Saccharomyces cerevisiae S288C: one gene and its partners. The gene in region 1 interacts genetically with each later gene. Each region holds a gene or a part of one and is shown in the gene's direction. Other genes may lie near its edges. The genes, in order: MSC7, WHI5, RHO2 and PHO86.

The links.
Region 2: mutations in MSC7 (region 1) and WHI5 together harm fitness more than expected from each alone (negative genetic interaction), as found in Saccharomyces cerevisiae (2 studies listed by BioGRID).
Region 3: mutations in MSC7 (region 1) and RHO2 together harm fitness more than expected from each alone (negative genetic interaction), as found in Saccharomyces cerevisiae (2 studies listed by BioGRID).
Region 4: mutations in MSC7 (region 1) and PHO86 together harm fitness more than expected from each alone (negative genetic interaction), as found in Saccharomyces cerevisiae (3 studies listed by BioGRID).

The regions. Positions count from the first base shown.
Region 1 is NC_001140.6:183,505-188,765, reverse strand, and holds MSC7 (meiotic recombination directing protein), read left to right. Parts: upstream 1-1,956; coding exon 1,957-3,891; downstream 3,892-5,261. Other genes in the region: BCD1 (Bcd1p), read right to left, coding at 1-842; VMA10 (H(+)-transporting V1 sector ATPase subunit G), read left to right, coding at 1,087-1,089, 1,252-1,593; RRF1 (Rrf1p), read right to left, coding at 4,008-4,700; PUT2 (1-pyrroline-5-carboxylate dehydrogenase), read right to left, coding at 5,062-5,261.
Region 2 is NC_001147.6:477,554-481,480, forward strand, and holds WHI5 (transcriptional repressor WHI5), read left to right. Parts: upstream 1-1,979; coding exon 1,980-2,867; downstream 2,868-3,927. Other genes in the region: TGL5 (triacylglycerol lipase), read right to left, coding at 1-1,635; LPX1 (triglyceride lipase), read left to right, coding at 3,034-3,927. UniProt on the Saccharomyces cerevisiae protein: Transcriptional repressor that negatively regulates G1-specific, SBF- and MBF-dependent transcription. Binds via SBF to promoters of G1-specific genes to repress transcription in early G1.
Region 3 is NC_001146.8:454,567-458,030, forward strand, and holds RHO2 (Rho family GTPase RHO2), read left to right. Parts: upstream 1-1,998; coding exon 1,999-2,577; downstream 2,578-3,464. Other genes in the region: NST1 (Nst1p), read left to right, coding at 1-1,564; TOP2 (DNA topoisomerase 2), read left to right, coding at 3,138-3,464.
Region 4 is NC_001142.9:190,448-194,349, forward strand, and holds PHO86 (Pho86p), read left to right. Parts: upstream 1-2,083; coding exon 2,084-3,019; downstream 3,020-3,902. Other genes in the region: ribulose-phosphate 3-epimerase RPE1, read right to left, coding at 1-643; YJL118W (uncharacterized protein), read left to right, coding at 1,192-1,851; SUN family protein NCA3, read right to left, coding at 3,413-3,902.

The DNA.
Region 1 (5,261 bases):
AACTCGATCACTGTGGTGTTCTTCAACAATTCTCCGATGCATTTCTCATGTATAGCCAACTCCACCAGTTTTTTTGAATCCATTATATGCGTGGTGTTGTAAGGGAACGTTTTCGTGTAGAATTTGAGCCCACTCTTCTGTAGGATCTGTGTTCTTTCCTCTTTGGTCTCCGAACCGTCTTCGCCCTCTATGCAAGAGCTTGTTCCAGCCAAGCGATAGAATTCACAGCATTTTTGGAAAACGTTCTTGCCCATCCCTTGCACCAAAAAGTCTGTCTCTTTGATACGGTGGCTGACATGTTTGAAAAGCTCCTTTTTCTCACCCTTTTCCTGCATAGGACATAGAATCCACTCCACGCTCCATACAAATAGGTCCATCGTTTTGTCCCACTTGCTCCTGTTTTGCGATGATCGCTGCATCCCCTTGGGTAGCATCAAACAGTTCACCCCCCTCCTAATTATCCTCTGACACTCCGTGCTATCACGATCATCCTCATCTATATCGTATCTTCTCTTCTTGAAATTAGAGTTGTGGCCGCCCACAGGCCCCAGAACCCGCTTGTTCTTCATTCTAGCATCCATCTTTTGTACATGCACCATTCGCTTCAACTGCGTCAGATAGTTGTAGTCCCTCTGGACATAAGCATTTCGTTCGTGCTTGTCGTCGTCCGCCTGTTTCAACGCCTCACTCGATATATACTCCTTAGGATCATGTGTTTGACCTGAGCAATTGTCCCTTGTCTTGTGCTTCTTGGAACACTCCAAAGAGCAAGTTTGCACCAAACATCTTGGACACTTGTATTTGAACTCTTTTATTCCGCATACACCACACAACACCGCCATACTTGCAAATTGCCACACCCTTCCCTATTAACTGGACTCCTATTCCAGCTCATCTCATCGAATATGAACTTTGACATCCACTATTATTACCGCGAATTTTTTTTTTTTTCAATTTGTTACCCTGCCTTGGGTATCAAAAATTTCATCTCTAAAAGGGAGCGTGATAGATAAAGCAATCACACCTTAAACAATACATTTTTTTTTTTCCTGCAATCTCCAAAGTGTGCAAGGTATACAAAGCAGAATGGTATGTGCCATTACATTACGTGTCAACACTTCTGTCTCTAACAAGCGTTCTTACTAACATGAAAAACTTTTTTAAAACTGTGCTCTCTTGTTGGACTGGTACCTCGTGACAAAGGTATTGGTTTTTTCATTGTTGCTCAGAACTATGTAATATTCTCTTTAGTCCCAAAAAAACGGAATTGCCACCCTACTACAAGCTGAAAAGGAAGCCCACGAAATAGTATCAAAGGCTAGAAAGTACAGACAAGATAAGTTGAAGCAAGCCAAGACTGATGCAGCCAAGGAAATCGACTCATACAAAATTCAAAAAGACAAGGAATTGAAGGAGTTTGAACAAAAGAATGCCGGTGGTGTTGGTGAATTGGAAAAGAAAGCAGAGGCTGGTGTGCAAGGTGAATTAGCTGAGATTAAGAAAATTGCAGAGAAGAAAAAGGATGACGTTGTCAAAATTTTGATCGAGACTGTCATCAAGCCTTCTGCTGAAGTCCATATCAATGCCTTGTAATATTGCATTACATTCTAGTTTTCTAATCATATATCTTTTTATAATATAATACCAATAGAATAAAAATGTATAAACTGACATTGCATTCGGTCTTTACGACTCTCGCTTTATCCATTCAGCCTTTTTTTTTTTTTTTTTTTTTTCTCTATCTGCTAAACGAGTAGTAGTATAATCAAAAATGTGTTATTTAGTATATCGGTTGTAAAGGAGAAAGTATGGTCTCTCTATTTTTATTTTATTAACGAAAAATACTAAACGCCGATGGGGATTACTATATAATTATAATAGTATTTGCAGAATAGTAGAATTCTTTTCACAGTTCACGTTCAGTTTCTCCTCTGTTTTATCGAACGTTTATTCATCATGTCCAAGGTCTATCTGAATTCAGACATGATTAACCATTTGAACTCCACAGTTCAAGCTTACTTTAACTTATGGTTGGAGAAGCAAAACGCAATAATGCGTTCTCAACCCCAAATTATTCAAGATAACCAAAAACTGATAGGCATTACAACGCTAGTTGCCTCAATTTTCACTCTGTATGTTTTGGTCAAGATAATCTCCACCCCAGCAAAGTGTTCCTCGTCCTATAAGCCAGTCAAATTCTCCCTTCCTGCACCAGAGGCCGCTCAAAATAATTGGAAGGGCAAGAGGTCTGTTTCCACTAACATATGGAATCCTGAAGAACCAAACTTTATTCAATGTCATTGTCCCGCCACAGGTCAATATCTAGGTTCTTTTCCATCGAAAACGGAAGCTGACATAGATGAAATGGTTTCTAAGGCAGGCAAAGCTCAATCTACTTGGGGCAATTCTGATTTCTCAAGAAGATTGAGAGTTTTGGCTTCTTTGCATGATTATATTCTAAATAATCAAGATCTTATTGCGAGAGTAGCGTGCAGGGATTCAGGAAAGACAATGTTAGACGCATCGATGGGTGAAATCTTGGTTACTTTAGAAAAAATTCAATGGACTATAAAGCACGGCCAAAGAGCGTTGCAACCTTCGAGACGTCCGGGCCCCACTAATTTTTTCATGAAGTGGTATAAAGGTGCAGAAATCCGTTATGAACCACTGGGTGTGATCAGTTCTATCGTTTCCTGGAACTATCCATTCCATAACTTATTGGGTCCAATTATTGCAGCATTGTTCACAGGGAATGCCATTGTAGTAAAATGTTCAGAACAAGTTGTCTGGTCTTCGGAATTTTTCGTCGAGCTGATCCGCAAATGTTTGGAAGCTTGTGATGAAGATCCAGATTTGGTTCAGTTGTGCTATTGTTTACCTCCAACTGAAAATGATGATTCCGCAAATTATTTCACCTCTCATCCTGGTTTCAAACATATCACTTTTATTGGCAGTCAGCCCGTAGCGCACTATATTCTAAAATGCGCTGCCAAATCATTGACACCCGTAGTTGTGGAGCTTGGTGGTAAGGATGCGTTTATTGTCCTAGACTCAGCTAAGAATTTAGATGCTTTATCTTCTATCATCATGAGGGGTACTTTCCAATCATCCGGTCAAAATTGTATTGGTATTGAGAGGGTTATTGTCAGTAAGGAAAATTATGATGATTTAGTCAAGATTTTGAATGACCGTATGACTGCAAATCCACTACGCCAAGGGTCTGATATTGATCATTTAGAAAATGTTGATATGGGGGCAATGATATCTGACAACAGATTCGATGAACTAGAAGCTTTGGTTAAAGATGCTGTTGCAAAGGGAGCTCGTTTACTTCAAGGTGGTTCCCGCTTCAAACATCCAAAGTATCCACAAGGTCATTATTTCCAACCAACTCTTTTGGTGGATGTCACTCCAGAAATGAAAATAGCACAAAACGAAGTGTTTGGCCCAATTTTAGTCATGATGAAAGCTAAGAATACTGACCATTGTGTACAACTAGCCAACTCTGCGCCATTTGGTCTAGGTGGTTCTGTGTTTGGTGCGGATATCAAGGAATGCAATTACGTCGCAAATAGCCTACAAACTGGTAATGTAGCCATTAATGATTTTGCTACATTCTATGTTTGTCAATTACCATTTGGTGGTATCAATGGTTCAGGTTACGGTAAATTTGGTGGTGAAGAAGGTCTTTTGGGTTTGTGCAATGCCAAAAGTGTCTGTTTTGATACTTTGCCTTTTGTCTCCACTCAAATTCCAAAACCATTAGACTACCCTATTCGTAACAATGCTAAGGCTTGGAATTTTGTAAAGAGTTTCATCGTAGGAGCTTATACAAATTCCACATGGCAAAGAATAAAGTCACTGTTCTCTTTAGCTAAAGAAGCCAGCTAGTTTACTTTAGAGGAAGCAACAAACTTATCAATAATTTGGTATTTATTATTATATAAAATGAACTTTTTATGTACAAGATTTATGATTTTTTGATTCTATACACGTTACGAAATTCCTCATTTTACAATGCTTTTTTCAACTTTCTGGAATTGGTCATGAAGCTTGTTCACGTAATCCTTATGCAGTTTTTCCAAATCCCTCTCAGCTTTTCGAACGGCATCATCCTTTTTGAAACTTTTGAATTCCTTTAGAATACTGCCTCTGATAGTTCCTAATGAGTCTTTTAGCGATGACTGCTTATATTCTTCAAATACTCTCTTTAAGTCTTTAGCTACTTTTAACCGGGATTCTGTAGTTGGTGGTGGTAACGAAACTTTCAATTGCAAATCGTTATTTGGGACCCTTTCAGGAGTTAAATTCAGGTTCGCAGCAAGCACCCCACTGATCACAGTTTTCACATCTTTGGGGTCGAAAACTGTTATTAAAAGTGCATTTTTACCTTTCAAGGATGTGGTAGCAATATCTGTAAACTTTCTGTTATTTTTGAACACTAAACTATTGAATACCTTAGGATTAAAATTTCCCTGTTTTATCTCATTCATTTTCTGTTTTTGAATTTCTAAAGTTTTTTTGAATTGAGTTTCTGCCTTTTTCAGCAGTTCATTCACGTCAATTTCATCTTCTTCGACTTTCTCAGTAGGGGTAGAACTTTTTTTCTTCAAAATTATGAAAGATTGACTAAAAGAACGATTAAATAGACGAGGAACGGTGACTGGTCTACAATTTAATCTAGCTGTGGTTAAAATCATTATTTCTTGCTGTTATTTTTCTTGTCAGGGACTGCTCGCCAAAGTTTCCATCTTTAAGCTTACGAATGGACGTATTTAATAAATTGATGTTCTGTTTCCGGACGGGTCCTTATGCCAAAAACAGAATGAATATGCGGCGAATAAATAGCAACGTGAATAAGTAAGTCATGACAGAATATAGAACGGGAATTTGGACGGTTGGTTCAATGAATATTTTTAAACTATTTACCTAGATAAATTAAAATTGTAAAACTAAAAAAACCTAATGAAGTAATCAAAACCCTTTTTTCGATAATCTAACATTTACATGAGTTGATGGATGAAGTGACTGCATTCGCGGTTCTATTCCACAAAAATTTTTTTATTCATAATTCGATGGATATTTGAAATCAGTCAACTCGTAGAAGTTCTCCTTTGTGTTTCTAATACTGACAAATCTGCTTAAAATGTTTGGACCACCAGCCTTATCGTCGGTACCACTCATTCTTGCGCCACCAAACCATTGCTGAGAAACAACGGCACCAGTACACTTATCATTTATGTAGAAATTTCCTGCGCTAA
Region 2 (3,927 bases), on another chromosome or scaffold:
TTTTATTGACGAAGAGATTATTATTTTCTCCTTTAGGAATGTGATGGCCTTATCCAAGGCGAATTCTTGGCCACAGTTATTTTGAATCATGGAAATTTTCGGCCAAGTAGCTCTTGCACCTAAAGTAGTTTGGTGCAATAGGAAAAGTTGAGATGGGTTCTTCAATACTTCGTGGAATTGACCAACCATTGATAGATCGGGTAAAATTGTGACATTGCCAGAGTATTGTTGTAAAAAAAGGTGTTTCAATTTGGTCATCAAATAGGGATGGAACTCAAGCTCCTTTAGGATGTCTAAAAAATGAATAGTTTCGTCGGAAAAAAATTTGAAGATCTTTGTTACTTGGTTTCTGAAACGGGCGGTAATTTCCTTTTCAATTTCACCCCCAACGCAAGTGTTTGAAAACTTTAACAGGGGAAAGACATGTATATTTACCTGGCAGGCGATAATGTGGTCGACATTGAACATTTCAGAAAGACGAGAAATGGGCATGTCATTATCTACAGATCCGTCCATGAATTTCATGTTTGATAAATGTAAATTTGTTGCCCCCCACTCTTTAATCTTTCCAGTGTGAGGATCTTTCTCGAATAGCGGCGTGGAGGGGAAAACTCCAGGTAGAGAACAAGATGCGCATACGGCAGACCAGATGAGAACGTTTGGAGCGGTTAAATTGTTTAGTAGTTTCGGCTGTTCGTATATGGAAGCAGGCGAGACTGTGATATTCAGGATTTTTCCAGTCTTGTTGTAGGCTTCCCTAAAGGTCAAGTTTCCTAAAAACGAAAGCATTGTGTTAATCAAAGGTTGATTATTGAACCAGGTACCGTTTTGGCAGAACCTCGATATCTTGATTAGTAAGTTTTCGTTGGGAGATTTGGAATTGTCGTCATTGAAGATGTTAAACTCCATATTAAGTACATTGGTCAACAAGGAGGGAATTTCCTGGGTCGTGTGGACGCAAAATATGCTGGCAACAATGGCGCCAGCACTGCTACCGCTGATCACCTTAGGCATCAGGTCCGATTCAAAAAGGGCGGCAAGAACACCAATGTGGAAAAGGCCGAAAGTGCTCCCACCGCTAAGCACGAGAGCCGTGCGCCCTATGTTTCTTCTCGTCTGTTGCAAAATACCGAGGAGATAGTGATCGTTCATATTTGACTGATGGATCAGCGCGGTGAGCACTGCTTGAGACTCTTCTAGGTAGTCATGTATAATTTGTTTTGTGCCGGTATGCGAGTGCCTGTAAAGATTAACGTTATTCATGTTGCCAAGATTACGGACCCACTTAGTTCTAATCAGATAAAGCAGGCGGTGGTAGTCGTGAGTGGTTCTCAAATGGCGCATACGGATGGTCAAGTCTTGCAGCAGCTTATAGTTATACAACGAGGACTCGTCGATTGTTTTCCATTCGGAAAGTCCCGTTAAGTCGTCTAATCGCGACGCTATGTCATTCCATTGATCGTAGGAGATGGCGTGTTTTTTCTGGGAAGACAAATCGGATATGAGCAGCTGTTTACGGGAGAGAGTCTTGTGGTATAACCATTTGAAGAGCGATGATGAGTCTGTGGCAGGAGTGTTGGAAAGTTCGTAGTATTTGGATAAAAGAAATTCTGTTACTGGCAAGGTATTAGACATAGCAACGAAACAGAACCGTCTTCCTTGTGCTGTTTATGATGTCTTTTGTCTCCTATTGTTTTCGAATTTTATTTTTTTTTTTTTTTATTTTTTTATTTTTTTTTGTTTTATATAATTCCTCGCGCTGCCTTAATGATAATTCTTGATTTACTAATTGTTTCATGACTTCTGGTGCTAAAGGGAAGGGGGAAAAGGGAAGCGAAAACTTCAAGAGCAGAACGAAAAAAATAAAAAAAACAAAACAAAACAAAACAAAACAAAGGCAAAACAAGGCAAAGAACCTGATGGAAGAAAGCACAACCAGATATTAATAGCAACGAAAAATAGTAGAGACATTGAAGAATATGAGTTTGAGAACGCCGAAGAGAAGCAGGACTAGCGATGAACAAGAACAAGAACAAGAACAAGAGCAGGTACAGAACCCAGATACACATGTAAACAACGAGCATCAGCAGCGACCTGGGCCAACCACTCTATTGAGCACGCCAGTACGTCTCAAAAATGGCTTTGGAACACCATCGCCGCCGTCACCACCAGGCATAACGAAAAGCATCACTAAATCGAGAAGAAGGCCGTCGACAACGAGTCTTCAGGGTATATTCATGTCGCCCGTCAATAAGCGTCGTGTCGGCATAACCGCACATGGACGTGTATATGACCATAACGACGACGGACACGAAAGTGAGAGTGAGGACGACGAAAATGAAGAAGAAAATGAAAATCAAAAGAAGTACGACGGACACGTTAGTATGCCTTTGTTGCCACCGACAACGCCCAAGTCAAGACGGTCGGAGGTGTTTCTGTCGCCGTCGCCGCGTTTGAGGTCACCTCCGACGGCTGCGCGTCGGTCTACGGGCGAGCGGCCCATCCGCGAAATATCACATACTTTGCGCACCAGGCTCAATTACGCGTTAGTCAAGCTGCAAAATGGATGGACGGACAAGACACTTCCCGAGCTGGAGACGGAGCTTGCTCCAGCAGTGCAGACGCCGCCACGTCGCTATCACAACAGATTTCCAGATAGTGCAGACGCGGGTACTTCCGCGCATACAGCGTTTCTTCAGGCGCTCGGAGGCCACCCACCACGGGAGGAGGCCACGGCTGTCGAAACACTGATGCTATTGTCGTCGCCTACCAAGAAGCAACAACACCGACCCGTGCCGGCGACATCTGCTGGAGAACCCACGGACGAAACGGAGCCCGAGTCGGATACCGAAGTGGAGACGTCTTAATGTGGTAGTACGAGTTTTTTCTCCGCAATCTCGGAGTTAGTGCAGCCGCGCCCGCTGCTGCACCCTTTAGCATATATATAAAGTGCGTAATGTGCGTGCTAAAAAAGCTCACTAGTGCGTACTCTGCTTATCTCTGCGTATCCGCCGATCAACATCCGCGGCTAAAATGGAACAGAACAGGTTCAAGAAAGAAACGAAAACTTGTAGCGCTAGCTGGCCGCGCGCACCGCAGTCGACGCTGTGTGCGACAGATCGCCTCGAGCTCACATACGATGTGTACACTAGCGCAGAGCGGCAACGCCGCTCTCGCACTGCCACTAGGCTTAACCTTGTGTTTTTGCACGGCAGCGGCATGAGTAAGGTGGTATGGGAGTACTATTTGCCGCGTCTGGTAGCCGCCGATGCGGAGGGCAATTATGCCATCGACAAGGTTTTGTTGATCGACCAGGTTAACCACGGTGATTCTGCGGTACGCAACCGCGGCAGACTCGGCACCAATTTCAACTGGATCGACGGGGCCCGCGACGTGCTCAAGATTGCCACATGCGAGTTGGGCAGTATTGACAGCCACCCGGCACTAAACGTAGTCATCGGCCACTCGATGGGCGGGTTCCAGGCTCTTGCGTGTGACGTCCTGCAGCCCAATCTGTTTCATTTGCTCATCTTGATCGAGCCTGTAGTAATCACACGGAAAGCCATCGGCGCCGGGAGGCCAGGGCTTCCGCCCGATTCTCCGCAGATCCCAGAAAATCTTTATAACTCCCTACGTTTAAAGACGTGCGACCATTTCGCTAACGAGTCCGAATATGTAAAATATATGAGGAACGGTTCCTTTTTTACCAATGCGCACAGCCAAATCCTGCAAAACATCATCGATTTTGAGAGGACAAAAGCCTCTGGAGACGATGAAGATGGTGGACCCGTTCGCACGAAGATGGAGCAGGCTCAAAATCTCCTCTGCTACATGAACATGCAGACTTTTGCGCCTTTCCTGATCAGCAATGTGAAGTTTGTGAGGAAGCGGACTATCCACATTGTGGGCGCGCGCTCCAACTGGTGT
Region 3 (3,464 bases), on another chromosome or scaffold:
GCAAGAAAAACAACGGAAACAGAAAGAGGAACTAAAACGCAAGAGGGAAGAAGAAAAGAAACGTATTAGAGAACAGAAAAGGCTAGAACAAGAAAAGCTACAGAAAGAAAAAGAAGAAGAAGAGAGACAAAGATTAATTGCAGAGGATGCGCTAAGAAAACAGAAATTAAACGAAGAACAAACATCTGCGAACATACTTTCCGCCAAACCTTTTACTGAGAATGGAGTTGGCAACCCTGTTTCATCTCAATCACATCCCAACATGACTAACTACCAAGAGGATAATAGTTGCAGTATCAACGATGAAATACTTAAAATGGTTAATAGCGTGGCTGCATCCAAACCAGTTTCACCCACAGGCTTTAACGTTCATGATCTACTTCTTCCTTCAACTAACAACCAGATGCCTGCTATGGAACAATCACACTTGCCACAGCCAGGTAATCAAAACAACCATTTTGGAACTACAACTATTCCGAATGCGTTAGACTTGGCTACAAAATCTTCTTTACAGACTGAAAACAACTATTTAATGAACTCACAAACTCTGGAAAATACAAGTCTATTGATGCATAATAATTCATCGCCAACTAAGCTATTGCCAAATGACTTTGGTTTATCATCTTGGGGTGGTCTGACAAATACAATGTCCATAAATCCTACATGTAAACCACCGGTTATTCAAACTTCAGAAATGGAATCACAAGCCCATAAATCTAGTCCTCAAGCTACAATGCCATCTTTTGGACTACCTAATGGTGGTACTCACCGTAAATCGTTTACCGACGAGTTGAACACTTTAACTAGCATGCTTTCTTCTTCCGGGTTCGCAGATACATCACTTTCATCATCAGGATTCCCCCCATCACAGCGTTCTGTGTGGAATGATCAAAAAAGCTCATTTTCGGGACCGTCGACTGCAGGAAACTTTAACAACAGCAGTATACAAAGCGGTATGCTGCTCGCACCTACATTAGGAAGCGTTGAATCGTTTCCAAATCGAACTTCTATCTGGGACAGCAGCACCACTCCGATGATGAATAAATCCGAGCTTTCCGGTCGCAATATAACTAGTACTGCGCAAGATAGCCCTGCGTTCATGGCATCAAATATCTGGTCTAGTAACAGTCAATACAATTCACCATATTTGACTAGCAACGTCCTTCAATCCCCTCAAATTTCGAGTGGAGTGGATGAAAGCCACATTCTGGATAGCATCTACAATACTTATTTAGCTATTTCCCCACAAGATAGTTTAAACCCCTACATTGCTATCGGGACACTATTCCAAAATTTAGTAGGACTTAACTTGGATTACTCGACGTTTATCAACAAATTGATAAGCATGCAAGGAGCCTACAATTGCGAATTCTTTACTGATAACAATGGATCCATTACCCACGTTCGATTTGCGAGACAAACTCCCGCTGGCCACTCAAAGGGGTTGCTGAATCAACTCTTTAGTGGATTGAACGATCCAACTGCTACACCATTTACGTCAAGGCCTCATACCTCCACAAGGGCTAGTTTTCCAATTGCCTCTTCAACTACGCAAACGTCTTAAATTTGCTCCGGTACGCAGGGCCAAAAATATTTACATACATACATAATTCGACGAAATTTCAGAAGAGACACTAAACAATCGTACATCTCTCTACTCGATGTGAGCCACGCGTCGGTTTTTCTTACCGTCGTGGCTTTAGAGGTGAGGCTGCGACACCCCATACATCTTACCCGGCATTTAATTTCCATTTTTCGCAGGAATGTGAATATGATAATAGACTTCGGTACACTCTTTTTTAGGTATAACATATATCAATTGTTCAACAACAATTATTCAAAGCGCAACTCTCCAAAGGTAGTTATTCTGATAATTTGAACCAAAAGTCCCCAGATTAAGTCTTAATTAAACTGCCCTTGCATACCGCTGTAAACGATTTGTGTGCAGACATCAATTGCTGAAACGTTCTGCTTTGGTTGTGCTTTTGATCCCGTACTATGTCTGAAAAGGCCGTTAGAAGGAAACTTGTTATTATTGGTGATGGTGCTTGTGGCAAGACCTCTTTACTATATGTATTTACATTAGGAAAATTCCCTGAACAATATCATCCGACAGTGTTCGAGAATTATGTCACTGATTGCAGAGTTGACGGAATAAAAGTGTCCTTAACGCTCTGGGATACAGCGGGACAAGAGGAATATGAACGTTTACGTCCATTCTCATATTCAAAAGCAGATATAATATTAATTGGGTTTGCTGTAGACAATTTTGAATCACTAATTAACGCAAGGACGAAATGGGCGGATGAGGCATTACGATATTGTCCTGACGCACCAATCGTTCTTGTAGGCTTGAAAAAAGATTTGAGGCAAGAAGCCCATTTTAAAGAGAATGCTACCGATGAAATGGTTCCCATTGAAGATGCAAAACAAGTTGCAAGGGCCATTGGGGCCAAGAAATACATGGAATGTAGTGCACTGACTGGTGAGGGTGTGGATGATGTCTTTGAAGTAGCTACAAGAACCAGTTTGCTTATGAAGAAGGAACCAGGGGCTAACTGTTGCATAATTTTATAAAAAAAACTTACACTGAAATGATACATTATCTTTTTAGCAAGGGAGGGAAAAACAATACCGTATTATAATTTTAATCAAATTTCATAGATATAATGGAATAAGTTAAAAAGGCTTATCGATAGTGCATGTATAAAACACAAACCCATTCGATATGTTTGTTCGTTAATGTCCTACAGATTCTTATTCGAGAGCCTTTACCAGAAGCAAAATTTCCGACGGATATAAGAAAATGGCACATCAAACCATAGCTCAAGGTACTGCGCCGATGAGCTAAACGGAACTGCCTAGTTTGATTATTTTTCGTTTATATACTTATTTACTTATTTACGCTATTTGTATTCGAATTCCTTACGAGGCGATGAGTGAAAGACGCGCCAGTAGGACGCGTCTTTTTTTTTTCAGTATAATGTAAACATATTATTGAATTGCCGAAGGAGACAAAAAGAAAAGAAAAGAGGAGATCATCTTTCATATAATCCAACCACGTCGTAGAGCAAACCACGACAATTTTAACTTTCTGTTTCAGTTAAAGGAGTTTATAACGACCAGCACGGCTAACCATGTCAACTGAACCGGTAAGCGCCTCTGATAAATATCAGAAAATTTCTCAACTGGAACATATCTTAAAAAGACCAGACACTTATATCGGTTCTGTTGAAACTCAAGAGCAGCTGCAATGGATATACGATGAAGAGACCGATTGCATGATTGAAAAAAATGTCACAATTGTACCAGGGTTGTTCAAAATCTTTGATGAAATCTTAGTCAATGCGGCAGATAATAAAGTTCGTGATCCATCGATGAAACGAATCGATGTAAACATACATGCTGAGGAACATACTATAGAAGTGAAAAATGATGGAAAAGGTATTCCCATAGAGATTCAT
Region 4 (3,902 bases), on another chromosome or scaffold:
CAGCTGCAGTGAAAACACTGGTACCAGCGACAATAACGTTGGCACCGGCTTTGGCGGCTTTCGGGATGGTCTCCTTGCCCAAACCACCATCGACTTGGATATTCAAATGGGGGAACTTGGCTCTCAAAGTTTCCACTTTTGGCATCATGTCTTCCATGAATTTTTGGCCTCCAAACCCAGGTTCCACAGTCATAACAAGAGCCATATCCAAATGAGGAGCTAGTTCAAATAAAACGTCAACAGAAGTACCAGGTTTGATGGCGCATGCAGCTTTGATGCCCTTAGACTTAATCAACTTAACTAAATGCAAAGGGTCTTGTGTGGCCTCGTAGTGGAACGTAAATTGGTCAGCACCACATTTAGCAAAATCGTCGACCCATTTTTCAGGATTTTCAACCATCATGTGACAATCGAAGAACGCAGTGGGCTTCTTTTCTGTGTTGCTAGCATCGCCAGGGCGTGGCACAGAACGACGTAGGGAGGTAACAATTGGTTGGCCCAGAGTAATGTTTGGAACAAAATGGCCGTCCATGACATCGATATGTAACCAATCTGCGCCGGCGTTGATGACCTTATGACATTCGCAACCCAAGTTGGCGAAGTCAGAAGCAAGGATACTGGGAGCTATAATTGGTTTGACCATTTTTTCTTGTGTGTTTACCTCGCTCTTGGAATTAGCAAATGGCCTTCTTGCATGAAATTGTATCGAGTTTGCTTTATTTTTCTTTTTACGGGCGGATTCTTTCTATTCTGGCTTTCCTATAACAGAGATCATGAAAGAAGTTCCAGCTTACGGATCAAGAAAGTACCTATACATATACAAAAATCTGATTACTTTCCCAGCTCGACTTGGATAGCTGTTCTTGTTTTCTCTTGGCGACACATTTTTTGTTTCTGAAGCCACGTCCTGCTTTATAAGAGGACATTTAAAGTTGCAGGACTTGAATGCAATTACCGGAAGAAGCAACCAACCGGCATGGTTCAGCATACAATACACATTTGATTAGAAAAGCAGAGAATAAATAGACATGATACCTCTCTTTTTATCCTCTGCAGCGTATTATTGTTTATTCCACGCAGGCATCGGTCGTTGGCTGTTGTTATGTCTCAGATAAGCGCGTTTGTTATGCGAAAAAAAAAAACTTTACAGAGGCTTTGTTTATATATAGAAAGACCACGAAAAAAACAGTGATGGCTTCATGCTTTTCAGTTTCATTATTGGCACGAGTAGCAGTCGTTGAGCCCATCAGAGTGCAACTTTGGTTAAATGTCGTAAATTGTATGATTGAATCATCCATGCACCAATGTCCTCCACGGGATCGCCACTTTTTTTCTTCATCACGCCCCATTTTGTTGATCCGACGTTCTGTATCAACTGTATACAGATTCGTTGCTTCTCGCACCACACAGGTTTTACGTGCGGCCAAGACCGTTGTCAAGTGGTTCATTATTGTCGACCCACTGATAAATTCTATTCTAATCAATTATCTCATTGATAGGCTCTGCACTCTTGGGCATGCTGTATTGCGAGTGAAAAAGCGCAAGACCGAGGAGAGACAACCCTGTTCTCCCATTATACAACACACACACGTTAAGAGACGCAAACGGCCTCGTCTGAGGATCGTAGCCATCAAGAGGAAGCGGAGGCGTCGAAGACCACATCGCATCGAGCGTCCACTCTCAAATATGTACCCAATAATGGAAATCCAGATGGTGGCTGTTCCACTTGCTCTTCCCAGTCCAACTGCACTGGTGCATTATCAGCAGCAGCAACAGCAGCTCCCGCAACATCATCCCTGGTACGACCTCTCGCTTTCTGAAGAAGCCCTCTCGACCTGCTGTTGTAGTTGACCTATAACTGAAAATTCACACCCGCATTACCCAGCGCGCCCGCACGTGCTCTTTATGGAAACTATAATGAATAACGACCAAAGAACATCTTTTTTTCTCTCTCACACAAATAAAGCTTTTCATGTTTATAGATATATAGCACATACTTTTACTAAGTTTTCTAGATTGATTACGACTCTTCCAGTTGCACATTTTTTCATAGCGAAAGTACAAGAGTAGGAAGAGTGGCACAATGGCGGTTCAACAAAGAAAGAAGAAAGAGGGTAGAAAGTCCGATAAAAATGCCCCATCGGTCCCACAAGTAGATGCATCATTAGACAAACCACTTGATATTGATGCTCCTCCTACTATTTACAGTGTTAATTTGAAACCAGAATATGGTACAGCTGCATTGAATTTGTCCGCGGATTTCATCAGACAAGAACAGGCATTGGCTAATAAGTATTTGTTCTTCCATCCCGTCATCCTTGTTGTTCTAACCATTGGGCTGCTTATTTACTTGACGCCAAGAATTGTCTTTCCGATAAGGAATACAGGATCCGTTGCTGGATGGTTCTACCAGCTGGCTCGTATTAATAAGAAGGTCGTCCTCAGCGGTTTAGTGTTCACCGCAATTGGTGCATCTTTCTTGTTCACCCTCCTCTCACGTGTATCTGACTCGTATTTCAAGTCGAAGATCAACCAACTTGTTGGTTCTAAAGGTGAGAAAGTTTTCGGCATCAATTTGAATGATTTGGTGGCAAGACATGAAACAAAGGATCCAGTGGTGAACAATACGCATATCATCGTTTATAGAGAAACGCCCATTGCATTGATTTCGTTAGCCCCTAACATGACATTAAGTACTGATGAAAATTTAGTCATGAGTGTTACTACTGTGGGTTGTCGTCGTGTATATGTAAAAAGTGGCATTATCGAAGATTTGATTGATTGGGCTATGCTACACTCCAAAAATATTAGAAGCAGCGGCAAATACGGGGAGACCATGAAACTCTTGATTGATGTCTACTCATTCGATAGCACGCTTAAGGAAATTTTGAAGAAAAAAGGGTTCACTTATATTCAAAGCATTAGAGTCTCTGAAAATCGACTACTAGGCGGTTTGTTCGGTGTGAAGAAGGAATTATGGGGTTTGCAATTCCATTTTAAAGCCGAACACAAGGACTAGGATACTGTTATTTTTATAGCCAAAAAATGAAAAAAAACAGCATGGCATCTTGTTAGTTCTGTTGCAACTCGCAGGAAGTAACAAAATAAACACTATAATATTTCCATATATTTATATATATGTATACAAACACCTTGTTAACAAAAAAAAAATAAACGAACTAAAGAAAACCGTAATGCAGAGTACACCTTGAAGAGAGAGAAAAGAAAATCTTTGAATCCATAGCATAATAGCGATCAACGAAACTTTTTAAGAAGTAAAATGAACTGAAAGGAGAAAAATATAACGGAATCCCAATGTATAATAATAAATAGAGAGCGGAAGAAAAAGAATAATAAGGGGAATTGAGGGTATCAAAATACAAGACATTCTTTTACCGAAAAGAAGAATGACTTAATAGAAAACAAATTCAGCAGATCCAGATAAAACAGAAACTGTGCAACCATCGGAACCATCTCCGGTGAAAGAGCCATCTTCATACGCACAGCTGCCCTGAACGTTAGCGCCATCGGATGCAACTATTTTAACGTTAAAGTTGGCAGCTTGGTTACTGTTGGGGTTTGGAATCAACGACAAGTATGTTTCTCCATTAGTGGAACCAGCACCTAACACTAGTGGAGCCCAGTTGCCGACATCCGAACCAGAAGTACCCCAAATGCACCCATCTTCTGCAGATACACCGGCGTTGTTAATATAGTACTGAGCAGAAGTCTTTTTACCCTGCCATTGATAATAAGTGTCTTCATCAACGACTGAAATTGGTTGTGAATCTCCACCATCAACCACTGTGGGAATCACCATGTTTTCTGATCCTGGGTAATCCGTCCTACATAGAGCAATGGAGTCAGACTTTTTGTTAATGGCCTTAGCAGATGTTTCATCC